Linked DNA regions of Ovis aries. Each later gene encodes a partner of the first gene's protein in a complex. Links are inferred from orthologs where the notes say so. Each region holds a gene or a part of one and is shown in the gene's direction. Other genes may lie near its edges.

Region 1 (3,900 bases):
AGGAGAGCCGCAACAGTGTCTGGTGGAGAGACACAACTGGCCAGAGTGAGACAGACATTCGGTAATCCGGGAGGCTCAAAAGAGAAGCCAAGCCAGCTTTGTTGTGATTTGATTTTTTAAAAACTCTTGTACAAAACTGATCTAATTCTTCACTCCAAGGGCTGGGCTGTGGGTGGGAAACTGGGATTTTGGGCCACTGGACTTCCCCCAAACTTGTCCCCTCCTTTACTTTCCCTCTATTTGCCCTTCCTCCTAGATTCCCTCAGATCTGTAACCAGCTTTCTCTTTTTTCCTTTCCTCTCTTTTAAACCATGCATTATAACTTTGAAACCAAAGCTGCCCTAGGTCCTTCTCTGGGGTTTGGGGAAACGAGGGAGGGGTTTTTGTTCATATCCACCCTGTTCACTAGGCAGAGAGAGAAGAGCCTGCTGTAGACCCTAAGTGTAGGGGGAAGGATAGTGTTGGCTTTCCCTGGCAGGAAGGGTCTTAGTGACAGGATGGGCACCCTGGTGGGGAGTGAAGAGACAGCTGTGTGTCCTGAGAGAACCTGAGCTTCAGTGCAGTAGGACGAAGTATTAAAGGAGTAGAAACCTCGACGACAAGAAAGGCTGGGCTTCGTCTGGAAGACTGGCATGTACTAGCTAGGCAGGCGCTTCCTTCGAGCGGCGGGCTCCCCAGCCCCCTGGCTGACCCGGCCCCACGTCCCCACCTCCCCGGGGCCCTCCTCCCAAAGCCCAAGCCGGCTCTACTTCCTCGCGCCTGCCACGTGACGCTCCGCCCTTTGAGATCACATGATTTTCGCGGACACAGCAGCGGTGTTCTTCCGCGCTGACGTAGTCCTTACCTTTTAGACCTCCTCTCCAGTCCCTATTGGTCCACTCATTATTGGAACTTAAGCGTCCAGTGCGTCTCTCCAAACAGGTTTCGTTTCTGCCCTCTTATTTCCAGCGACCTCTTCCTCCACTTGGGTACTACTTTGTTTTGGTGTCAACGGCCGCCTTCAGCGTACCAACAGATTTCGTGAATAGCTATCCTTTAATTATCTGCCTTTCCTCTGCATTACTTCCGAAAAGAGCTTTCGGAGAGCCAAGTCTCAAATTACGATTACCATCTTTTAGCCCTTATCATCGTTACCTCCCTGTGGGGAAAGTCGGGAAATGGATTTTCAGTTATTTCCGACGATAGCAAAAGGCAACCATCTTTTCTACGCCGCCTGCGTAATTTACAAATTGATTCCAAAGCGATTACGCTGAGGGCGTGAGAGAGGAGGTCAGTAGGTGGTGCTACGCTACTGGCGTTAGGGCAGTTACGTCAGTGGCGTAACATAGCAGCCTGGGAGGCCCCTGTTGGCTGGGGGCGGGGTTGGTGAATAGGGAAGTGGCGCAAGTCCGGGGATCGCTCCGCTGAATCCGCCCGCGCGTCGCTGCCGTCGCCGCCGCCCCCCGTCCCGGCCCCCCCCGGGTTCCCTCAGCCCAGCCCGGTCCAGCCCGGTTCCCGGGAGGATGAAGTTCGTGTATAAAGAGGAGCATCCGTTCGAGAAGCGCCGCTCTGAGGGCGAAAAGATCCGAAAGAAATACCCGGACCGGGTCCCGGTGAGGACAGTAGCCAGGGCCGAGGGCGCGGGGCGCTGGCGCTGACGCCACAGCCTGGGCTTGAGTCCGGGACCCACAGCGCAGGCATCAGGCTGCCGGTTGTGGCGGCGTTGGGAACGAGCCCCAACCCGCTGTTTCTGGGACCGGAGGTGAAAGGAATGGGGTACCAGTAGAGCTGAAAGTGAGAAGATGTAGACTCGAGAGACAGACCTTGGGGTTCCCGTGGGAGGCTGCGGGGCGTTTGACAGTCTGAGCTTCCCATAAGGTTTTTGAAATTGAAGCTCTGGTTGGCCCGAATAAGTCATCCTCGTCTGATTAACGTAATTGTTTTTATGACGCCGTATTCAGGGATCCTGGATGTTTAGGTGAATTAGAGTCAATGGGGTCAGAATTCCTATTCAGGGCTGCGCCGCGTGTTAAGAGACAAAGAGAAATGAGTCTGGGGTACGTGTGGGTGCTAGGAATGTTGAATTCTTGACAGGTGGAGCTGTGCGTCTGTGTACCTAGTGTCTGCTAATTTTTATCTTCTTTTTAACAGGTGATAGTAGAAAAGGCTCCTAAAGCTCGAATAGGAGACCTGGACAAAAAGAAATACCTGGTGCCTTCTGATCTTACAGGTGGGAACCTGACCCAGTACTCAGATTTGTTTCCTGGGGGTGGGAGTACAGTCTCTGATGGAGGAGACTCCACATAGCAGGTGTTCTTTTGAGGGTATTTGTGATCTCTGACTTTTATTAAGCCTTGTATCTTGGCAGTTGGCCAGTTCTACTTCTTAATCCGGAAGCGAATTCATCTCCGAGCAGAGGATGCCTTGTTTTTCTTCGTCAACAACGTCATTCCGCCCACCAGTGCCACGATGGGTCAGCTGTACCAGGTATGGTGCCTGGGAAGTAGAGGAGGCTTTGGGGAGGAGTTGGAAGCGCTTGAGAGGCAGAAAGTTTGAAGTCAGCAGTTCTTGGACCAGCTGGCTTACTTAGCTCTCAATTTTATATTCACCCTTAAGATTTCCGCATCGTTCTGGGTTAGGGATTTGGACAGGGCAGTGAACCAGAGTAACCGCTGTGGTCCAGACTCCCCTCCAGCCATTCCGTGTTCCAAGGCAGTAGAGAGTAGTTTGAGATCTTATTGTCCAAGACTGTGGATAGGATAATACTGCCCAGCACTTATGGTCTGGAGCAAGTGAGAGGGAGAGTCAAAGCACTGGTGTTTGGGGTCTTCAAAAAGAATGGTTGTGGAAGAATATGTCCCAGTGGTGGGTGGTTCAAGTAACTAAAACTCTGATGCCTGAACGCTGTTGTTTTCTGTCTTCATCCCAGGAACACCATGAAGAAGACTTCTTTCTATACATTGCCTACAGTGATGAAAGTGTCTACGGTCTGTGAAGCTGCTGCCCCTAAGGTGGGGGGTCCCATTCTACAAAGAGAGAGGTGGCCCCCCTTCCTTGACCTACTCCTCCTTGAGGTTCAAACACCACCTCCCTTCTTCAGGACCTGCACTTCCTAATGTTTGAGACTCTCCTACAGACCCTCTTAACACAAGGGTTAATGGGGGAGATGGCCTCTAATACCTCTCCTTTCTTTCTTCCCCTTTCTTTACCACCTTTCCCATTCTGCTTTAGATTTCTTGATTGTCAATCTCTGTCACATCTGGTGATTGTTTTGGTTTCTGTTCCCTTTCTAACTGCCCAAGGGGCTCAGAGCCCCAACAATCCTTTCTTTTCACTACCTTCTTTTTGGGGGGTAGATGGAAGGGACTGAAATTGTGGGGGAAGGTAGGAGGCACATCAATAAAGAGGAAACCACCACCAAGCTGAACTGGATTTTTTCTTTGTGTTGTTCCCCTCCCCCTTTTGTTCTCTTCAAGTGGTGGGAAAAGAGTAGGTTAGAGGGAATAGTATATTTTGGTTTGTTCTGCTTATGTTCGGCTTTTCCTTGTGTATATTAAGAGTGTGCTTTTGTTATGAGGGATGGAATACTGAATATCATTTCATGAAAGTTCAGTTTTATATACGTGTATATGGGTTGGGTCCTGAGGTTATTAAAGTTTTTTACAGTGGGTTCCTGTGGATAAAGTTTGAAAGCACCTTCTTCAGATAAAACATCCAACTGTGTCGTAACTTTCTGGATTAAGGAAGAGATTTTCGAGTATGGGAGCTAGTGAAAGGGCTCCGTTGTCAGATGTATGTCGCTTTGCCCGGCGTGAGGGATCCAGTGGAGTGGAATCCAAGGGAGGGAGAAAACTGGGAGGAGGGAGCCATTATCACCAGGAGAACTTCATCTCCCAGCAGCCTTTCTCTAACTGGCCGGAA
Region 2 (4,074 bases), on another chromosome or scaffold:
AGTTTATTCCTACTTCCCAAGTCCAGAGCCTATTTGCTCAGTTTGGGAAAGTCCCCGTTCTCCTTCCTCCTTCCTGCAGCCTAGGGGTATGGGGCTGGTGTCAGTCACTGCCAGTCATGTGCCTGTGGCCTCAGAAGGCTCTAGTCTCAGGGGTCCTGCCCACCTCTCTTGGACCTTATCTTCCTCACCATCTGCCTCTTTTTTTTTCTCCTCCCCAACGGAACCCCCTGCCCGCTCATATTCAGCCGTTTAATTGCAAAACCAGGCCGTTTGCGGGAGACCACAAGGCGGCGACCCCTTTCATTTACCGGCTGGGGGGCGGGGATGGGAGGGAGGTAAAGGACAGGCTGCAAAGAGAGGAACACAACCTGTCGTCACATCTTTTGAGCCGTCAGGGTCCTTCCCTCTGTCCCAGAAAATCCCTAAAAGCTTGAAAAGCATTTCCGCCGGACAGCAGCTGGCCGGGGTCGCTCCTCCTGGCCTTTCAAGAGATCCTGTGATTTCAAAGAGGCTGAATGACTTGCCCCAGCTCACACAGAAGCAGTCTGACAGGCTGCCAGGTCACTACGGGGACCGTACTGAGAACAGGCACTCTTCCCCCAGGCCTGCAGGGCTCCGGCGCTGGGAGGAAGTGAAGCCCCAGGGCTCGGTGCCCTCTGCCCCATCCCGGGGGAGGGAGGTGTGGGAGGGAGAAGGCGGGGTTGGGGAGGAAGGCGGGGGGGGGGGGGGGGGGGGGGGGCAGGGAGGCGGGTGGAGGACGGGAAGAGGAGTGGGAAGGAAGAGAAAGACAAGGTGGGAATGGTGGGGTTCCCCAAACTCAGAGTAGAAAGACGCTAGGAAAACCTTGCCCACTCAACCCTTGAGTGGAGTCTAGAATGGAGCCGGACCCTAGCTTCACGCAGCACCACAGCTCGCGCGTGTTCTTTAAACGCCTAGATCCCGAACGCCGCGCGCAAGGGAGGGCGGGGCTGGGCCGAGGTCTGGTCACATGACCTGGACTGAGGGGCTCGAGGCCCCCCCGACTTCACCGGTGGGCGTCCCCCACAACGCGTGGTCGACCTTCATTGGCCAGTGGTGCGGCCAATAGAAATCGGCCATCTGGGAACCCAGCGTTCCGAGGCACAGCCTAACATGCTGAGCCTAGAAGGGTCCAATGGAAAGGCAGGGCTATGGCCACAGACCAATGATAAAGTGAGGAAGGCGGACCAAGAGGCCGGACCAGGCTGGTTTGAGAGCAGGCGGGGTATAAAAGGGCACGGCCGGCGGCGGCGTCCGTCCCCACTGCAGAGCTGCTGCCGGACGAGTGACTTAAAGGGCCCGCGCGCCACCGCCCCCTCGGCCCGCCATGCTGCTACCCGTGCCGCTGCTGCTCGGCCTTCTCGGCCTGGCCGCCGCTGATCCCACCGTTTACTTCAAGGAGCAGTTTCTGGACGGAGGTAACGGCTAGTCCCGCTCGAGATCGTCCTAACGACGCGGCTGGCCCTCCGGCCCATATCTGCGTGTCGCTTGTAATTACTGCTCAGAGGGCCAACACGGTTTCCTTCAGGGACTGGAGCCGAAGGCGAGCCTTCCTTCGGCGTCCCTGGGGAGCGTGGAGGGAGCAGCGGCTTTCCGAAGCGGGAGTTAGGGTTTGCCCGAGGATCTTTTAAGTCACCAGAGATGTCAAACTAGAGGTTGGGGTGGGGACGGTCTGGGGGGAGGGGGGAATCTCCTTCCTTGCTCCCAGCAGTTTGTGGCTCCTGGTAGATGTTTGGTGGGGAGTTGATCAGCACCGCCGCGCTTACCTGCCTCTTTGATCCTCTAGACGGGTGGACCGAGCGCTGGATCGAATCCAAACACAAACCGGATTTTGGCAAATTCGTTCTCAGTTCCGGCAAGTTCTATGGTGACCAGGAGAAAGATAAAGGTAAGAACTTAGGAGTGGGTATTCAGATCCAGGAGGACAGAGTTTGGGTATCCCTAGAAGTAGGGGAGGTGAAGGAAGGAGGACTGGTGTGTATTTTACATCCTTAGGGTTCCCCGGGGGGTTGGTGCTGAGCCCTGATCTGATTATAGTCTCTCGGTAGGCCTGCAGACTAGCCAGGATGCCCGGTTCTACGCACTGTCGGCGAGATTTGAGCCTTTCAGCAACAAGGGTCAGACGCTGGTGGTGCAGTTCACGGTGAAACACGAGCAGAACATCGACTGTGGGGGCGGCTATGTGAAGCTGTTTCCAGCTGGTTTGGATCAGACAGACATGCACGGGGACTCCGAATACAACATCATGTTTGGTAAGGGGACTCCACCCTGGTGCTGATTTCTGGTCACTTAGAGGGAGTTTGAAACCCGGGGAGTTCTTTATCGCCCATGAACGGTGGTCTTGAGAGCATAGAAAACACTTACATGCTTTAGGCATTTCTTTCATAGGGAAGGTGAGGGAATAGTTAGGAACCACTTACTGCATTTTTATCATCGACTTCACACTAATTCGTGCAGTTTTACTATATAGGCATTTCCTTGTTCCTAGTTGTGCAAGTGAAGATTGTGAGTTCTGGAGTACTGATGTGTGGTTTGTTTTTTTTTAAGTGTCCTCCCCCAGTTCCTTAGAGAGAAGGTCTGAATTTTGTTTTTTCAGCTTGACAGTCCTGAGTTTAAGAACCAAGTTGTCTTTTTGTAATGGGGTGGGCAGGGGCTTGTAATGGTGGACAGACTGTAGTTCTGACCAAGATCTGCTTCTCACCAAGGCCCAGACATCTGTGGACCCGGCACCAAGAAGGTTCATGTCATCTTCAACTACAAGGGCAAGAATGTGCTGATCAACAAGGATATTCGCTGCAAGGTGTGCCTTGGGGGTGGTCACAAATGGCTGTGAGGGGAGGCTTTGAGCCCAGGCTGGTGGGCGGGGCCACTCATCTTTCATTCTCTTTAGGACGATGAATTCACCCACCTGTACACGCTGATTGTGCGGCCTGATAATACGTATGAGGTGAAGATTGATAACAGCCAGGTGGAGTCAGGCTCCTTGGAGGACGACTGGGATTTCTTGCCCCCCAAGAAGATAAAGGATCCTGATGCCGCTAAGCCTGAAGACTGGGATGATCGTGCCAAGATCGATGACCCCACAGACTCCAAGCCTGAGGTTGGTGCTTGGGCAGGGGCTCCCCACCATGGAGCGTGTGGAGGACAGCTGCTCCTATTCTGACCTCCTAATGTATCCTCAGGATTGGGACAAGCCTGAGCACATTCCTGACCCTGATGCTAAGAAACCTGAGGACTGGGATGAAGAGATGGACGGAGAGTGGGAACCACCTGTTATTCAGAACCCAGAGTACAAGGTGAGTCTGGCACTCTGAGGAGGGTGGTGCACAATGGGGAAGGCAGTGATCTTCGCTCACCCGTCAGTTTACTTCTGCAGGGGGAGTGGAAGCCCAGGCAGATCGACAACCCAGAGTACAAGGGCGTTTGGATCCATCCAGAGATTGACAACCCTGAGTATTCCCCTGATAGCAACATCTACGCCTATGAAAACTTTGCTGTTCTAGGCTTGGATCTTTGGCAGGTGAGACATGGAGGGAAGAGGCGGCTCCCTAGGGGACCTCAGGTGCTCAGGGTCAACCCAGGAGAAAAGGGGACAAGGGCGGGCAGACTCCAAAATGGTGCCCCCCCCCTTTCTTTTAAGAAATTCCTGGTTTGTCATTACGGGGTCTTAACAGCACCTGCTTTGGCTTGTACTTAATATGTTCCAGGTACTATTTTCAAGTATTTTTGTGGGAAGTAACTCAATTGCATCCAGCAGCCTAGAAAGGCAGGTAGATAACCCCATTAGAACTTAGCTTCACAAGGGCCGAATTTTTGTCCTGTTTGTCAATGTACTTTCTGCATCTAGTATGCTGCTTGGCACATAGACTGTACTAGGAAAGATAGTTTGAAGAAGAGAATGAGATCTCATTTTATAGATGAAGATACTGAGGTGCAAAGAGATGAAGTCACCAGCTCAAGATCATATATAGTAAATGGCAGAGCTGAGGTTTGAATCTAGGCAGCCTATTTTTCAACTGCAATGTTAGACTGTAGTATTGTGTAGTGGTTATGTGA
Region 3 (3,500 bases), on another chromosome or scaffold:
ATTCTTCCATTTATTATTTATGTGACCTTCAGAATGTTAACAACACTTAGCTTTGTAAATTGATGGGAGGACTCCATGAGATATTGTCTTATTTCTCACTCCCTTCCCTACCCTTGGAGTAGGAAATGCCAATCCACTCCAGTGTTCTTGCCTGGAGAATTCCATGGACAGAGGAACCTGGCAGGCTATAGTTCATGGGTCGCAAAGAGTAGGACACAACTCAGCGACTGACACACACACACCATTCCCCACCCCGACCCACTGCATTCTTGCCTTTGTCCCTCCCTGTTTGATTCACTCTTTGCTTAGAATTCCACTTTTGCCACCACCAATACCTTTAGACATTTTAGTACTGTAGTTCCTATAGTCGCTTTCCTATTACTGGAATCCCTTAATGTCAACACCATACTTACCCACCCTGCTTATTGCCTACTCTAGGCCAGTAGACTCTGCCTGTGTATCATAGTGTTTATGTGCTTGTTTCTGGGCTTTTCTGTGTATATGAGTGCATATAATTAAGTTTAGTATATTCATATTATCTATCTTTGGAGCTCAGAACGAAGATAGCTTAGTTGGTTGGGATCTAAGACTAAAGCTGGCGTTGAAGGCTGGCTGGAATTTAGAGAGAGAAGAATAAAGGAACATATCTGGAATTTTGGCATTAGTTTCTTAAACCTGTACTTTCCAGGCACATTAATAAAACTGTACAACTACCAACAAGGGGAAAACAGTTCTTCATAGTTTTGACTTCAAATGCCCAAATTGCATTCTGCTTGACAAATATTAACTTAATAAATCACATTTCCCCCCAGAATCTTAGGTGGTCTTATAACTGCTTATTAAGATTCTGTTATTTTTTTCAGGCAGGTAAGGAAACCTAAGTCATTGTTAAATCCATAAACATATTCTTAGATTCTTTGGAGAATTGTTTTCCTTTAAAAAGGAAAGTCTATTCATTACTCTAGTTTGAGAAAACTACAGTGAGCCTCATAAATAGTTTAAATAATTGTTAAAGGGATGCTGAGAACAATATGAGGTGCCAGTGTTAAGTTGATGGTTGTCAGATTTGCGAGGCCTAGGTCAATGAAAGCAAACATAAGTAAATCAGAAGAAAAAGGGAAGGTTGGTAGATAGGGGTGAGGAGGCTTTGTTGTTCGGGGCTTGGTGTCCTGTAGTAGAATAAAGTTGTGTATGTATAGTTTGGCCCAGCATAAAGAGCCAAGATCACAGTGGACAAATAGGGTCCAGATTGAGCTCTGAATGGAGTCTAGTTTGGCATTTAGTTGGGGTTGAAGAGGGATTCTCTTCTATTATCTGTGAATTAAAAAAACCCCTCAAAAGTAAATAGTCTATATGTTGATGTTTACATCAACATGGGTTGATGCTTACATGGGTTTATACATGTGCGAGAACTAATCAAAGGATATGCCCTAAGAATTGGTTGTATATTATATGTAAATTCCATATAAATATAGTTTTCTAAAAATGGGAATATGTTCCTCTGTCAGGTAGTGAGTTCTTGTCACTGGAGATGTTTGAGCTGAGATTCAGTGGCCACTTATCAGAAGTGGTATAGTGGGGTTTCACATAGCTGAGGGGAAAGTTGCACTTCCACCCAGAGATTCCGTGTTTCTGTTGTGTCAGCACAGATTTTGCCATTTTATGTAGAAGGCTTTATTAATATGTTTGATCTGAAACATTTTAATTTGTCATGATTTTTAAATGTACTGAAGTGTACAGGTGTAAAACATGGGACAGTAAGTTCGTTCACTGCTCCCTTGTGCATATCACAAATGGAACAATTTTATGGCAGGTCAAACCATATTATATTTTTACTCCTAAAACATAATAACTTGTGTTTATTGGATCAAGGGCATTTAACTCCTGAGACAGATTTGTCTGTTTTAAACTGAATCTTCAAAGAAGATAAGTTAGAAAGGCTTTTGGTTTGATTTTTTTTTTTCCATCAAACCTCACATGACACGTAAATGCTTATTTGGATGTTTTTCCTCCTGGAAAGTAGATTCATTTGGAGAATAATATGTTTGCATGTTAGAATGCATTTTAGTGTGAGATGCTTTGTCCTATAAAGGTGCCACCCTTTTCTTGTCTAATAATTAAGTCACCCTCTTTTTTTCATACAAGTGAATTTGTACTTTCAACATGGTTTATCAGATGCTATTAATGAACCGCTATTAAGACTGCAAGGCTGCAGTACCCAGGGCTCTGATTACAGGAATTAAAGTAGTGTGTATTGGCTGACTGCTGCTCCCCAGCAGGAACGTTCACTCATAATTCCTTTGCATCTAGTCTCAGCAGGAGAAGATTGACAGCATTGAAGACCATGTCAACAGTGCTGCTGTGAATGTTGAAGAGGGAACCAAAAACTTGGGGAAGGTAAGATTCTGCTCCTGCTGACAAATCAATGGTACTCTGGCTCTCAGGAATCCCTAGTATTAACCCAATTGATCTGTTCTCTTTAATGTTGAGGGAACCAGCAATTAAGAAAATAAGGAAGAAATGACACATAGGTAGTGCAGGAAATCAATGGTTGTTGTAATATTCTACTCTAAGATTCCTTCTGTTGGGAGAGACATTTTTTCAGAGAGAGAGTAAACTGGAGCCCTGCTATATGGCACTTGGTGTTACAAAATAATATTTTCAGGGGTCCAGGAGAGGAGTAGAGAGGGTTGTCAGAATCCAGTAGGGGCCAAAGTTTAGGGACGTGACAGCACACATGTGTGGGTCCATCTATTTCCCATAGAACGTGGCTTTTAACCCCAGGTACATAGCATGGAGTAATCTGTGTGCAACATAAAAGCTTTGGGAGTATCTGTGGCTACTGAAACTGTTTAAATAAGCTAGCTAGATAGTTAGTGAATTGACTGTTTTGCAAGTAAAATCAATCTGTAGCAGTCCACTCTTTGTAGCTCATTTCTCTAAGTTCTGAGATCTGGAGCAATTAGAGTACCTGTGGAATACTTTCTCCCCTCCCCCAACCCCAGAACAATCTCTAAGGTTAATTATGTACCACGAGTTAAAGAGGCATTGCCAGGAGTAATGAGAGGAAAATGCATATCACCACAGGGAGATATTCTCAACTCAATTTCTAAATTGAATTTTTTTTTTTTTTTACAGGCTGCAAAATACAAGCTGGCAGCTCTGCCTGTGGCAGGTGCACTCATCGGAGGAGTGGTAGGGGGTCCGATTGGCCTCCTTGCAGGCTTCAAAGTGGCAGGAATTGCAGCTGCACTTGGTGGTGGGGTGTTGGGCTTCACAGGTGGAAAATTGATACAAAGAAGGAAACAGAAAATGATGGAGAAGCTCACTTCCAGCTGTCCAGATCTCCCCAGCCAAACTGACAAAAAATGTAGTTAAAAACCAAACTTCGGTATTATTGGTGCCAACATGTCTATCCTAATGACGAGCTTCGCTGCTGTTGGACACCCAGTCAGCTTTCAGAACATGATTATATCCCAGTAGTGGCTGTAGATGCTCAA
Region 4 (4,248 bases), on another chromosome or scaffold:
CTCTAAAAGGTAACTTGGATGTTTCGATAGATACGAAAATTGAGGCCCAGAGAGATGACATGACTTGCTTGAGGTCACACAGCAAGTTTGGGGAAAGGATGAAGCCCAGGTTTCCTGGGGGAGGCTGAAGCACCCTCGGGCTTTGATTATCTGGTGCTTGTAGAGAGCGGAGAGTGTTGGAGCCAGGAACTATGTGTTCAAATCCTGGCTTTGCCATTTACTATAACTGTGTGACCCTGATTCCTCAACTTGAAAATGGGGATAACACACACCATTTCGGTTGTTGTGAAGAATAAAAACACATATACAGCAGTATGGCACAATGCCTGGCACTCAGTAAGTGCTCAGAAATGTCAGCTAATGGTCTAGCAGCAGCAATAGTTGCTGTTGAATGCATTACTGAGTATGAATCTATATACTAACCATGAGATCTGTTTCCCTGTGTGGTGGTGGTGGTGGTTAGTCACCCAGTTGGGTCCCACTCTAATAATCAATCAATCCCTGTCTCTCATTTTTCTGTCCAGCCCCAGTAGCAATATGGATTAAATTAGGTGTGTAAGGGCTTCCCAGGTAGCCAGGGGTAAAGAATCTGCCTGCCAGTGCAGGAGAGTCAAGTTCCATCCGGAAGATCCCCTGGAGAAGGAAATGGCAACCCACTCCAGTATTCTTGCCTGGGAAATCCCATGGACAGAGGAGCCTGGCAGGCCACAGCCCATGGGGGTCACAAAAGAGTCGGACACGATTGAGCACACACACGCACAAGATGTGTAAACGTTCCAGTGCAGAGTACTCTCTAGGTCAATGTTTATTTAGCCCAAAGCAATTCCTCTCCAAGTTCTACTGGCAAAATTTTCCTGTCAGCCTAACTAACTCGTCTATACTTCCTGCGATCCCCTGGAACCAGGGAAGAGGGTTGTCTCCCACCTGTTAGGCTTGCCCAGCAGAGGAAAAAAAAGGAGTGGGAAAGCAGCGAGCGTGTACGGCTAAGAAAGGGAGACAGAAAAGGCAGAGCCGGGAGACGGGTGGTGGGGAGGCTGGGGTGCACGAACGTGGTGTGGAGTTGAGAAAACTGTACAGACTGAGGGACTTGAGTGTAAGATGCAGGTGAAAGGACAAGAGAGGCGGCGGGAGAGGTGAGGGAGCTGACAGATGCGGAGGGTGTGCAGAAAGATGGGGGTCTCGTAGGAACGAGTGGGAACCCCCCTCTTAGAGAGGTCCGTGGGTCGCCCAGAGGCAGGGCGGTCCAAGCTTCCAGCAGTTGTTTCTCCAGGCCTCTTCTTCCCTAGCCTGGGAGTCTGGGATCCCCGCGAGGGAGCCACTAGCCGGCTAGCCGCGGAGGAGGCGGGGAGGGGGGATCCGCAGCCTGGGATTGGCCGCCGCTTGGCCGGGCGGTGACGCGAGGCGGGCGGGCCCCTTTGTGACGTCACAATCAGCTGTTTGAACGTTCCAATTTGTGCGGTGAGTCCAGCAGCCGCGGCTGTAGACTCAAAGCCCGGCGCGCGAGCGCAGTCACTCTGAGCGCCGGACTCGCTCCCAACCCAGCCCCCGCGATGCTGCCGGGCCTGTGATCCGCCGCCGATCCCGGGACGCTCCGCCTCACAACTACCTCAGCGCCACCTGGGCCCGCCGCACTGCCCCCAGTCCCCAGGTGAGTTCCCACCGGCTTTGGCCTGGGGGGCTCCTGGAGCCTCGGGACACGCCCCGCGCCCCCAGTTCCCGGGTCTTTGTCAGTCTCAGCGGGCGGCTGCTGGGGCTGCATTCTGGGCTCCGGATTGGCTGCCCCCGCCTGGTAGACCGTGACGTCTCTCTATTTGCATATGACTTTGAGACGTCACCAAGGCCGGCACCGCCCCCCCCACCCCCTCCCGACTCGGGTCGCTTGTCCTCCGGTGACCCGTTGGGCGCTGGGTCGGAACTGGGCCCAAGAGTGAGGGACGCTGAAGGCAGCGGGACCAGAGGGCCCTCTTGTTTCCTGGGCTAACCCAGGAGCTGAGGTCAAACCTCTGATCTACTTTGTCCTTGACACCTGAGAGAGGTTCGAAGAGACTTGAGAGAGGTTCCGAAGGCGCTACTGGGTCTAGATAGGTGGAGGGGGTTGTCAGAAGTTCAGGAGCCCCTGAAGCTTGAACTCTAGATCGCTGGGGCAGCGCCAAGTGGTGGTGCAATCTCCTCTGGCTCCAGGCTCTGCGCCCCTGGGACTAACATAATAACATTCTCCTAATCCCTGACCTGTGTGCAGCGCCTTAGCTGACGTCATTCCCAGCCCCCGAACGAGGGGTCTTAGAGCCCATTTCATGGAAGGAGAAACCGAGGCCCTGAGAGGGGAGGTGGCTTACTCGAGGTCGTGCAGCTAGTTAGAGTCATGCCTCCCTCGTGAGTGGCGGCTGCATTAGCCACTGGCACATACCTAGTAGAAGCTTATTACAAATAACAAGTTACACATCCTCCTTGCACCTAAGACTCTACTTAGGGTTAGTTCAGTTCAGTCGCTCAGTCGTGTGGGACTCTGCAACCCCATGGACTGCAGCACGCCAGGCCTCCCTGTCCATCGCCAACTCAAACTTATGAGTCGGTGATGCCATCCAACCACTTGGGCTAAGCCCCATCCAAATTTGATAATGCTCCCAGGTTTCCTCACTCCTGGATCTTTTTCCAGGAGGTCTCTGGAGACTGGGTCCCCTTTTGAGGCCCCCATCCTCATTCTGTACCTCAGAGTTCTGGAACCCAGTAAAATCACTGCCTCCCAGCTGTTTTGGCCACAGAAAGGTGAGTCAATGGCTGCATCAGAGTGTCTCCCGGGCCAGTGTTGGGATGGGGTGGAGATGAGAGTTCCCTCTGTTTGGCTGTCCTTCACCTCCCACCCTGGTGGCTCAGATGGTAAGGAATCTGTCTGCAATGCAGGAGACCAGAGTTCGATCCCTGGGGTCGGGAAGATCCATTGGAGAAGGAAATGACAACCCACTCCAGTATTCTTGTCTGGAGAATTCCATGGACAGAGGAGCCTGGCAGGCTACAGTCCATGGGATCACAAAGAGTTGGACACAACTGAGCAACTATCACTTTCATCTTGCACCCTCAGAGCTGCCAGCTAGAAATGATTGACCTGGACTAGTGCTGATGATTACAAAGCGTGTGCTCCCCTCTCTGCTCACAGAGAAGCATCAGACACTGAGCAGGAGAGCCTCTGACTTTCCAAATAGATGGGCCTATGGATTGGACCAAGAGTCCTATCTCAGCCTAGACTCTGCTCACAGATGGGCTGGGGTAGAGGTGGCTTGGGGATCAAGTGTTATTCCGGGCACAGCTGTTGCAGTTATTAAAGGGAATGGTTCTCCCAGGAGCAGAACTGGGAATGTGAGAACCAGGAAGTTGGCAGGGCTGGGAAAGAAAAATTCTGGGAGCCTCCCTCTGTGGTCATGAGAGGAGGCGGGCACTGGCTGGCTGGTGAGGCTGTCACTTCTGGCTCTGTCACTGACTTGCTGTGTGACCTCGGGCAGGGAGCTTTCCCAGCCCTAAGCCTTCCTTACCTCAATCGGTTTGTAATTTGAAGAGGCCTGGAGCAGACTCTGGTACACAGTGGATGCTCTGGTAAATGCAGGATGAATCTCCGTGCCAGGAACCTCAGACCCTTTTATAGAGGGACAGAGGGCCCCCTGAGAGGGGCAGTGACTTGATCAAAATCTGACTCCTGTCTGACTCCCCCCGTCTCCCCATGGTTTCTGAAACACCTGTTCACTTTCTTTCCATTTTCTCGATGAAGCAGTAGGTCCTTGGAAACAGGGTGTGCCTCATCAAGGCCCCAGTCTTTCCCTTCCTTCAGGAGGGGTCAAACTCTCTGAATTTTTGGTAACTGAGTCACTAACTCCCTGTGGCTACAAATGGGCTGGGATATGTGGCTTGTGCTGGGCGGGCACTGATTGAGGGTGACCCAGCCTTTCATAATCCCTGAAAATCTACCACCAGGGAGGCCAACACCCAGGCACCACTTCCTTCTGGAGCCCACTGTGGGGTCTGCAAATGTATACATACTCTCAGGGTGTAGAGCTTAGGTGATTCTGTGGCAAGTGTGAAAAATATACCCAGGGATTGGAAGATGTGCAACAACCATAGAAATACCCCAGGTGGGTTTGCAATAAGAGTAGAATGCCTCCAGGGAATGGAATTGTGACTGTATCCCCAGGGAGCTTTATAGAAAGTGTGGAAACATCCTTAGAGGAAGGTGACAAGTAGCTGAGTAGCAAAACTGTT
Region 5 (3,500 bases), on another chromosome or scaffold:
AAATTATCATGAAATCAGTGTAGCATAGAGCTTGATGGTAACCCAAGCTTTAGTATCAGAGTCTTGTCCCCACTTACTGAGGTATGAGATCTCAGATGGCAACCTTCTGAGCCTCTTTAAATCTCTTTCGTCAAGTATAAAATGTGATAATGTGATACCTAATGGCTGTTGTGAAGCTTAAGTGAAATAGCAACAAAATATCTGGCAAATAAAAGGGTTGATGTTAGCTTTTGTTATAAAATGTGTTGTCTTCTCTCTTACCAGTTATTTAAAAAACCTCATCCACCCAAGCGAGTGAGGAGTCGACTCAATGGAGACAATGCGGGGGCCTCCGTCCCTCCAGGGTCTGCCAGTGACAAGATCTTTTTTCATCATCTAGACAACCTGAGGCCTTCGCTAACACCTGTAAAAGGTAAAATGACAGGGAATGGGCTTTTGATGGATGATTCTGTGGGACTCTTTAATAATCCTAGTTAAGCAATAACAAATTTGCTTCTCAGCAACAGTGTCATTTGTAGTAAGTGCTTAAACCATCAAATACAGAGTCTCCTTTTCCTTTTCTCTTCTCTTCTTTCTGCCTGTTGGATTTTGCATCCGAAAGAAACCCAACAGGTTTCTCCTCTCTGCTAGGGTACTGAAAACTAGGATACCAAATCTTATAATTCAACTTGTAGAAAAACTTCTGCCATCTTCATTTACACATGTTCTGCCAATTTAGAAATAGCAGTAAGAAGACTTGTATTTTTAACACGCCAGCTTTAAAAGCTTCTTTCATCTACTGTTATTGTAAGTTATTTTAAATTACTTTTCCAAGTAGATTTTTTTCCCCTTTGAATAAAAAAAAAAAAATTGTTTTGCAGAGTCTTAAAGTTGTCACTTAAATCCAAAAACTGGAGCATCAAACTCTGGATGGGTGCCCAGCTCTCTGCCGCCTGTCTCATTCCACAGACTCTGCCCTGTGCCAGCTCCAGCCACTGCCCAGAGATGGCTCTGGAGCACTGGCATGGTCAACAGAGTCCTGGGTCAGAGCTGGGGTTCTTGGCCTTCCTTCAGGAAGTCTAGGGCTGGGAGGGGCTGAAGGCCTAGGTCATTTGGAGGTCTGTGTGGCTTTCTGGGGAGCATCCCAGAACACTCTGGAAGTCCTCGGGATCAAAAGGTGGGCCTGGTGGCTGGGAGCCAAACCCAAGCAAGTGTCCATAGCCAGGCAGGCTAGAGACACCAGTCAAGGTCGATATCTGCCCAGTTGGTCTGCAGAAGACTCCATCGAAAGCCACACCCTACTTCCTTCTCAGGTCATTTTGTATTAATGTGGGTGTGAAGATACTTGATTTGTATGAATATTTGAAATCCCTTTACTCTCCCCTGTGGGATTCCCAGGTAGCCTTAGTGGTGAAGAATCTGTCCACCAAGGCAGGAGATGCAAGAGATGCCAGTTCAGTCCCTGGGTTGGAAAGATCCCCTGGAGGAGGAAATGGCTTCCCACTCCAATATTCTTGCCTGGAGAATCCCATGAACAGAGGAGCCTGGTGGGCTGTAGTTCCTGGGGTCACAAGAGTCAGACACAACTAACACTCTCTGCCCTCCTCTGTGGGATAAGGAGGTTAGTCTTCCCTGTACTGGTTCTAACATGTTGATTTATTTTTTGTAGAACTCAAAGAGCCTGTGGGACAAATCGTGTGTACAGACAAAGGCATTCTTGCGGTAGAACAGAATAAGGTTCTTATCCCGCCAACCTGGAACAAGACTTTCGCTTGGGGCTACGCAGACCTCAGCTGCAGGCTGGGGACCTATGAGTCAGACAAGGTTTGCAATGTTGCTTGCTCTCTTATGTCATCCTGCCTCATGGGGGTGGGGATAGCTCAAGCCAAGGGCTTCTCCGCTGCTCCTCCCCAGCCCAGAGGAAGGGAGAGCTTCACTGCATCCGATCAGGATAGAGGAGCTAGTGGACGAGTCCCATTTCCTGCAGAAAAGCCTCTCCTGGAAGGTTGTGTACCAGGACCTAGCAGTTTGCCTTCCACTCCAGGACCTCCTCCAGGGGGCCCTAGCCAACCAGGTGTTCAATATTTCTGCCAACCAGAAGAGCCTCCCTTTGAGTCACTGTCCCACTTACCATTTCGGTGGCAGAAAACCTGTCACCCTTCCCCTAAGAAGCAGTTGCGGCTACCATTTTGAGTCCCATTAGCATCTCTTGGAGAGGCAATACATAAGTGATGCTTTGGGGTCGTATTTGCCCCTTGACAGTCCTCTCCTGAATGCATGAGGGACACAGTCTGTGTCTGTAACACAGTTTTGTTTAGTCACATTGTCATGAAGAGCAGCACTCATGGGTTCCTTTTACATTCTGCCTGCTACAGCGGATGCATCCTTTCACCAGATCACCCCCTGCATCTCACACAGCATCACACAACCTGAACGTCATTTTCCATCGCACAATCTAAACATCTTTTTCCCTGACTGGAGAAACTGGAGACCCCCAATATGAACAAAGTGCTTCTTATGATTTTCAACAGCATCTATAGTTAGGAGGCTGTAGGGTGTAGTTCAGAGTAGAGCTTTAGGGAACCAGCCCAGCAGGTATTTGCCCAGAAGGGACCCAAAAAGAGGTTCTCTTTCATTTCGTATGCTCGTCGTGTCTCAGAAGCTTGTAGTGCTTGATGGCATGTGTGTCTCACATCTCTTCTATTTTACAGGCAGTGACTGTTTATGAATGTTTGTCGGAGTGGGGCCAGATTCTCTGTGCGATCTGCCCCAACCCCAAGCTGGTCATCACGGGTGGAACAAGCACGGTCGTGTGTGTTTGGGAGATGAGTGCCTCGAAAGAAAAGGCTAAGACTCTCACTCTCAAACAGGTAACAGAACGTGAGATGGTGGACCTATTCCAGCCCACCCGCTCGTGCTCTAGAGAAACTGAGTAACTTCCTTAATTCCAAGGCAATTTACACATTAATGGACAAGACCAAAAAAATGTATGTTCTTTTGCTAGAAATGGATCTTAAAAAAAGTAAATGAAAAATCAGAGGATACTATTTCTGAAGATGATCCAAGCTGTCCTTTTATAAAATCTGAAGCAAGATATCTTTAGGTGATGTAGTTTTTTAAAAAATATATTTAAGTAATGTCAATGTTTCTCAGAGTTATATGTAGGTTAAATTCTTGCAAACCAGTTATATTTGCAATTGATTCAGAATAACTTCTTTTCTGGATGCTTTTCATTCATCTATACCATTAAGTCGTTGATTTTTGGTTTTCTGTTTCTTCATTTATAATATTCTTAAGAACATGGCAAATTCATGAAATGTATTCAGAAAAACCATTGGTGATGTTATTAACAAGTATTTTTGATCACTTGTTATGAGGTGACTCTATCATAAATGTTTAATCAAAACAAGAATTCTTTTATCATGAAGCCATCACCTTTTTAATATTTGATTTATAAGTGAATTTACTGTAAGTTTCTTTTTAATGGAGTTTACATCTAGGTGTTTTCTGTTATAACACAT
Region 6 (4,194 bases), on another chromosome or scaffold:
AGCACGAGTGTTTATAGCAGTTTTATTCACAACTGAAAAAATTCAAAGCACACAAAATGCCATTTAGTAGGTGAATGGATAAGTAAACTGGTATACAATGAAATATTATTCAATGAAAAGAAATAACTATCAAGCCATGAAAAGACATTTGAAAAACCCTGCAGGTTTAAGCTTTGGGTTTTTTTTTTTTAATAAATAGATTTTAAAATCAGATTTTAAAGTTTATTAGAAAATTCAATAGAAAGCTTTATTAATCTGAATTGAATATTGCCAAGTGAAAGAATGTATATTCCAACTGCATGATATTCTGGAAAAGGTAGAACCAGACAATAAGAAAATTAATGGTTCTGAAGGGCTGGGAGGCAAGGAGAGGGAGGCATAAATAGGTTGAACAGAGGATTTTTTAAGATTGTGAAACTGTTCTGTGTATTATTGTCATGATAGGTACATGACATACATTTATGACATACATGTACATCATACATACATGTACACGACATACATGTTATATAGATACATGACATGCCTGTACAACACAGAGTAAATCCTAATATAAACTACATGTTTTAATTAATGATAGATAACTGTAAGTTCATAACTTTTTAACAAGGGCATACACTAATGCAAGATGTTGTAAACAGGTGAAACTGAGAGGGGGTGGAGTATATGAGAGCTTTCTGCAGCTTTCTATTGGATTTTCTAGTAAACCTAAGACTGGTCTTAAAAATCTATTTGTTAAATGCAAAAACAAAAAAACTTAAAAGGTATCTCTGCAGAAACCTGTAGGGTTTTTCAAATTTCCCCACAGGCTCATGGTCTCAAATGAGAGGGTGCTTCATTCTTCATGAACGCTAGAAGAAAAGCTAAAACTCATTAAGCCTTTATATCATGGGTACTGCGTATAAGTACATTACTCTGCTAATCAACAAATATTTATTTAAAGCAAGGAGAGCCAACCTACGCGATTTAATGCGTATATCACCTACGCGATTTATGCGTGTATCATCTACGCAATTTAGTTCGATCGTCATACAATGCTATGAAGTACCACTGCCATTAACGTTTTTAAAAAACAAGCGGCAGCTCTGACAGAAGCCAGACAACTGATAAATACAACAACTGGCATTTAGTCTGAATTCCAAACCCAAAGTTCGAAACCATAAAGCCGAACGGAATAGAATTAACCATTTCGAACTCCGTCGTCCGAAACAATGAACGGGCAACAAATCTCGCGATGCTATTGAAGCTACTACTACTCCCGATATGCAAAGCGGTTTCCGTGCCGCAACCTGTGCCGCAGCAGGTGCCGCAGCCTGTGCCGCAGAGTCCGCGGGGTCCCGGCATGCCTCGAGGCGCGAAAGGCAATCTGGGAGCCGTAGTTCTCCTGGATGCCTAGTGGTGGTGCCGGCGCGGAGGTGGCGGATCGCTCGCTTCCAGCCAGTAGGTCCTCTGAGGGCGAGCTGAGGCGGAGAAAGGGCGTGGAACTGGAACCCGGTGAGTGGGACGCGGTCTACGCGATCGAGGGAGGCGGCACCGCGGCAGAGGGCTGACTTAAATAAATGGACCAGTGCTGCAGTCTCTCCGGAGACACCGCGGTCTTAGCGTCAGCGAGAAGAGGGTGAGGAGGCGCCAGAACCTGGTCCTTGCACCCGTTCTCATCTTTCGCTCTCCGCCGCTCTCTCCATCATGCAGTCCCGGGAAGAAGCTTCGCGCTCTCGCCGCCTCGCCAGTCCCCGCGGCGGGAAGCGCCCCAAAAGGGTTCACAAACCCACGGTTTCGGCTTTTTTCACTGGCCCGGAGGAGCTGAAGGACACGGGCCATTCTGCAGCTCTGCTGGCCCAGCTCAAGTCCTTCTACGATGCGCGGCTTCTCTGCGATGTGACCATCGAGGTGGTCACCCCCGGCAGCGGGCCCGGCACGGGCCGCCTCTTCCCCTGCAACCGAAACGTGCTGGCGGCCGCGTGTCCCTACTTCAAGAGCATGTTCACCGGCGGCATGTACGAGAGCCATCAGACGAACGTGACCATGCACGACGTGGACGCCGAGTCCTTCGAGGTCCTGGTCGATTACTGCTACACCGGTCGCGTGTCCCTGAGTGAATCGAACGTGGAGCGCCTTTATGCAGCCTCCGACATGCTGCAGCTGGAGTACGTGCGGGAAGCCTGTGCCTCCTTCCTAGCCCGCCGCCTTGACCTGGCCAACTGCACAGCCATCTTCAAGTTTGCTGATGCCTTCGGCCATCGCAAGCTGCGATCACAGGCCCAGTCCTTTATAGCCCACAACTTCAAGCATCTCAGCCAGATGAGTCCAATTCGCGAAGAGTCCCTGGCAGATCTGACCCTGGCCCAGCTGCTGACCGTCCTGCGCCTGGACAGTCTCAACATCGAGCACGAGCAGACCGTGTGTCATGTGGCGGTGCAGTGGTTGGAGGCGGCTCCCAAGGAGCGGGGTCCCAGCGCTGCAGAAGTCTTCAAGTGTGTCCGCTGGACCCACTTCACTGACGAAGATCGGGGCTACCTGGAAGAGCTGCTGACCAACACCGTGGTGAAGAAGTACTGTCTGGACCTCATTGAAGGGGCCCGGCAGATGCGGTATGGTGACACATTGTGCAAGTCTCTGGTGCCCAAGCCAGAGAGCAGTGGTGGCAGCAGTGGCAGTGGCGTTGTTAGCTGCGTTGCTTGTGGTGGTGGTGGTGGTGGAGGTGGTGGTGGCGGTGGCAGCAGCAGCGTCGTTAACGTTGTTCTTGGCGGCGGAAGCAGCAGCTCCGTTGTGCCCATGGCTGATCATCCACCTCAGAGGCTAGGTGTGTATGCCAAGAAGATGGTGATCTTCTTTGGCCATCCCAGAGATCCCTTTCTGTGCTGTGACCCATACTCGGGGGACATTTACAAAGTGCCATCACCTCTGACCTGCCTTGCTCACACTAGGACTGTGACCACCTTAGCTGTCTGTGTCTCTCCAGACCATGACATCTATCTGGCCGCCCAGCCCAGGAAGGATCTCTGGGTGTATAAACCAGCCCAGAATAGTTGGCAGCAGCTTGCTGACCGCCTGCTCTGCCGGGAGGGCATGGACGTGGCATACCTCAATGGCTACATCTACATCCTGGGTGGTCGGGACCCCATTACCGGCATTAAACTGAAGGAGGTGGAGTGCTACAGTGTCCAGAGAAACCAGTGGGCGCTGGTGGCTCCGCTGCCCCATTCCTTTATTTCCTTTGACCTGATGGTCATTCAGAACTATCTGTACGCTCTCAACAGTAAGCGCATGTTCTGCTTTGATCCCAGCCACAATATGTGGCTGAAGTGTGTTTCTCTGAAGCGCAATGATTTTCAGGAAGCCTGTGTCTTCAACGATGAGATCTATTGCATCTGCGACATCCCTGTCATGAAGGTGTACAATCCAGTCAGAGGAGAGTGGAGGCAGATTAATAACATCCCCTTGGTGTCGGAGACTAACAACTACCGGATTATCAATCATGGCCAAAAACTGTTGCTGATCACCTCCCGCACCCCGCAGTGGAAGAAGAACCGGGTGACCGTGTATGAATACGATGTTAGGGGTGACCAGTGGATTAATATAGGTACCACATTAGGCCTGTTCCAGTTCGATTCTAACTTTTTTTGCCTCTCAGCTCGCGTTTATCCTTCCTGTCTTGAACCCGGTCAGAGTTTTCTCACTGAGGAGGAAGAAGTACCTAGTGAATCCAGCACTGAGTGGGATTTAGGTGGGTTCAGTGAGTTGGATTCTGAATCAGGGAGCTCAAGCTCTTTATCTGATGATGATTTGTGGGTTCAGGTAGCCCCTCAGTGAAATGCACAGCAGAGTGTGTTACAGATAAATTGAAACACTAAGGTATTTTTACTGCTTTGGAAAGTATCTTAAAGAGATACCCTTTCTCTTTGCTGGAAGGAAAAAAAAAAAGTTGATTAATTTCAAGTTTGGCTTAGAAAGGGTATTGTTTGAAATACTAATATAATATCACAGAATTTAAACATCTTTAAAAGAAATCAACCTGTTTAATAATTTACTGTTCTAAAAGTCCAGTGTGGATTTGTTTGGTATGTTTATGTTTGACAATATAAGTTAATTGTAATCAGTAGTCTTCTATGATTAAATCTTACATTGTCTTGTGCCACAAGTGTTTCAACTTGAATTTTAATTTCTACACTAAAAAACTGATTGGATAGGAAT

Evidence for each region.
Region 2: the proteins of GABARAP (region 1) and CALR are in contact, whole or in part, in a crystal structure (PDB 3DOW), measured with the Homo sapiens proteins. The link is inferred for Ovis aries from reciprocal best matches to the Homo sapiens genes GABARAP and CALR. Residues at the interface, in NP_009209.1 of Homo sapiens: Glu17, Ile21, Tyr25, Arg28, Pro30, Val31, Ile32, Lys48, Tyr49, Leu50, Val51, Pro52, Leu55, Phe60, Leu63, Ile64, Arg67, Phe104; in NP_004334.1 of Homo sapiens: Asp199, Trp200, Asp201, Phe202, Leu203, Pro204, Pro205.
Region 3: the proteins of GABARAP (region 1) and STX17 are in contact, whole or in part, in a crystal structure (PDB 7BV4), measured with the Homo sapiens proteins. The link is inferred for Ovis aries from reciprocal best matches to the Homo sapiens genes GABARAP and STX17. Residues at the interface, in NP_009209.1 of Homo sapiens: Tyr5, His9, Lys13, Glu17, Lys20, Ile21, Arg28, Pro30, Lys46, Lys47, Lys48, Tyr49, Leu50, Pro52, Leu55, Gln59, Phe60, Phe62, Leu63, Lys66, Arg67, Phe104; in NP_060389.2 of Homo sapiens: Ala169, Glu170, Ser171, Trp172, Glu173, Thr174, Leu175, Glu176, Asp178, Leu179, Glu181, Leu182.
Region 4: the proteins of GABARAP (region 1) and TP53INP2 are in contact, whole or in part, in a crystal structure (PDB 8T31), measured with the Homo sapiens proteins. The link is inferred for Ovis aries from reciprocal best matches to the Homo sapiens genes GABARAP and TP53INP2. Residues at the interface, in NP_009209.1 of Homo sapiens: Tyr5, Glu17, Ile21, Tyr25, Arg28, Pro30, Val31, Ile32, Lys46, Lys48, Tyr49, Leu50, Val51, Pro52, Asp54, Leu55, Gln59, Leu63, Arg67, Phe104; in NP_001316358.1 of Homo sapiens: Glu31, Val32, Asp33, Gly34, Trp35, Leu36, Ile37, Ile38, Asp39, Leu40, Pro41.
Region 5: the proteins of GABARAP (region 1) and WDFY3 are in contact, whole or in part, in a crystal structure (PDB 3WIM), measured with the Homo sapiens proteins. The link is inferred for Ovis aries from reciprocal best matches to the Homo sapiens genes GABARAP and WDFY3. Residues at the interface, in NP_009209.1 of Homo sapiens: Glu17, Ile21, Lys24, Tyr25, Arg28, Pro30, Lys46, Lys48, Tyr49, Leu50, Val51, Pro52, Asp54, Leu55, Leu63, Lys66, Arg67, Phe104; in NP_055806.2 of Homo sapiens: Glu3342, Lys3343, Asp3344, Gly3345, Phe3346, Ile3347, Phe3348, Val3349, Asn3350, Tyr3351, Ser3352.
Region 6: the proteins of GABARAP (region 1) and KBTBD6 are in contact, whole or in part, in a crystal structure (PDB 4XC2), measured with the Homo sapiens proteins. The link is inferred for Ovis aries from reciprocal best matches to the Homo sapiens genes GABARAP and KBTBD6. Residues at the interface, in NP_009209.1 of Homo sapiens: Tyr5, Glu8, His9, Glu17, Ile21, Tyr25, Arg28, Pro30, Val31, Ile32, Leu44, Asp45, Lys46, Lys47, Lys48, Tyr49, Leu50, Val51, Pro52, Leu55, Leu63, Arg67, Phe104; in NP_690867.3 of Homo sapiens: Ser663, Asp664, Asp665, Asp666, Phe667, Trp668, Val669, Arg670, Val671, Ala672, Pro673.

Annotation. Positions count from the first base shown.
Region 1 is NC_056064.1:26,843,818-26,847,717, reverse strand, and holds GABARAP (gamma-aminobutyric acid receptor-associated protein), read left to right. Parts: upstream 1-1,371; 5' UTR 1,372-1,502; coding exon 1,503-1,592; intron 1,593-2,130; coding exon 2,131-2,209; intron 2,210-2,347; coding exon 2,348-2,466; intron 2,467-2,908; coding exon 2,909-2,974; 3' UTR 2,975-3,400; downstream 3,401-3,900. UniProt on the Homo sapiens protein: Ubiquitin-like modifier that plays a role in intracellular transport of GABA(A) receptors and its interaction with the cytoskeleton.
Region 2 is NC_056058.1:10,923,591-10,927,664, reverse strand, and holds the start of CALR (calreticulin), read left to right. Parts: upstream 1-1,274; 5' UTR 1,275-1,345; coding exon 1,346-1,436; intron 1,437-1,804; coding exon 1,805-1,906; intron 1,907-2,066; coding exon 2,067-2,270; intron 2,271-2,723; coding exon 2,724-2,818; intron 2,819-2,908; coding exon 2,909-3,118; intron 3,119-3,200; coding exon 3,201-3,314; intron 3,315-3,394; coding exon 3,395-3,538; intron 3,539-4,074. UniProt on the Homo sapiens protein: Calcium-binding chaperone that promotes folding, oligomeric assembly and quality control in the endoplasmic reticulum (ER) via the calreticulin/calnexin cycle.
Region 3 is NC_056055.1:47,866,964-47,870,463, reverse strand, and holds part of STX17 (syntaxin-17), read left to right. Parts: intron 1-2,310; coding exon 2,311-2,397; intron 2,398-3,138; coding exon 3,139-3,378; 3' UTR 3,379-3,500. UniProt on the Homo sapiens protein: SNAREs, soluble N-ethylmaleimide-sensitive factor-attachment protein receptors, are essential proteins for fusion of cellular membranes.
Region 4 is NC_056066.1:64,038,365-64,042,612, forward strand, and holds the start of TP53INP2 (tumor protein p53-inducible nuclear protein 2), read left to right. Parts: upstream 1-1,448; 5' UTR 1,449-1,648; intron 1,649-2,656; 5' UTR 2,657-2,766; intron 2,767-4,248. UniProt on the Homo sapiens protein: Dual regulator of transcription and autophagy. Positively regulates autophagy and is required for autophagosome formation and processing.
Region 5 is NC_056059.1:100,207,953-100,211,452, reverse strand, and holds part of WDFY3 (WD repeat and FYVE domain-containing protein 3), read left to right. Parts: intron 1-264; coding exon 265-412; intron 413-1,648; coding exon 1,649-1,803; intron 1,804-2,690; coding exon 2,691-2,849; intron 2,850-3,500. UniProt on the Homo sapiens protein: Required for selective macroautophagy (aggrephagy). Acts as an adapter protein by linking specific proteins destined for degradation to the core autophagic machinery members, such as the ATG5-ATG12-ATG16L E3-like ligase, SQSTM1 and LC3.
Region 6 is NC_056063.1:11,708,823-11,713,016, reverse strand, and holds the start of KBTBD6 (kelch repeat and BTB domain-containing protein 6), read left to right. Parts: upstream 1-1,394; 5' UTR 1,395-1,686; coding exon 1,687-3,813; 3' UTR 3,814-4,194. UniProt on the Homo sapiens protein: As part of the CUL3(KBTBD6/7) E3 ubiquitin ligase complex functions as a substrate adapter for the RAC1 guanine exchange factor (GEF) TIAM1, mediating its 'Lys-48' ubiquitination and proteasomal degradation.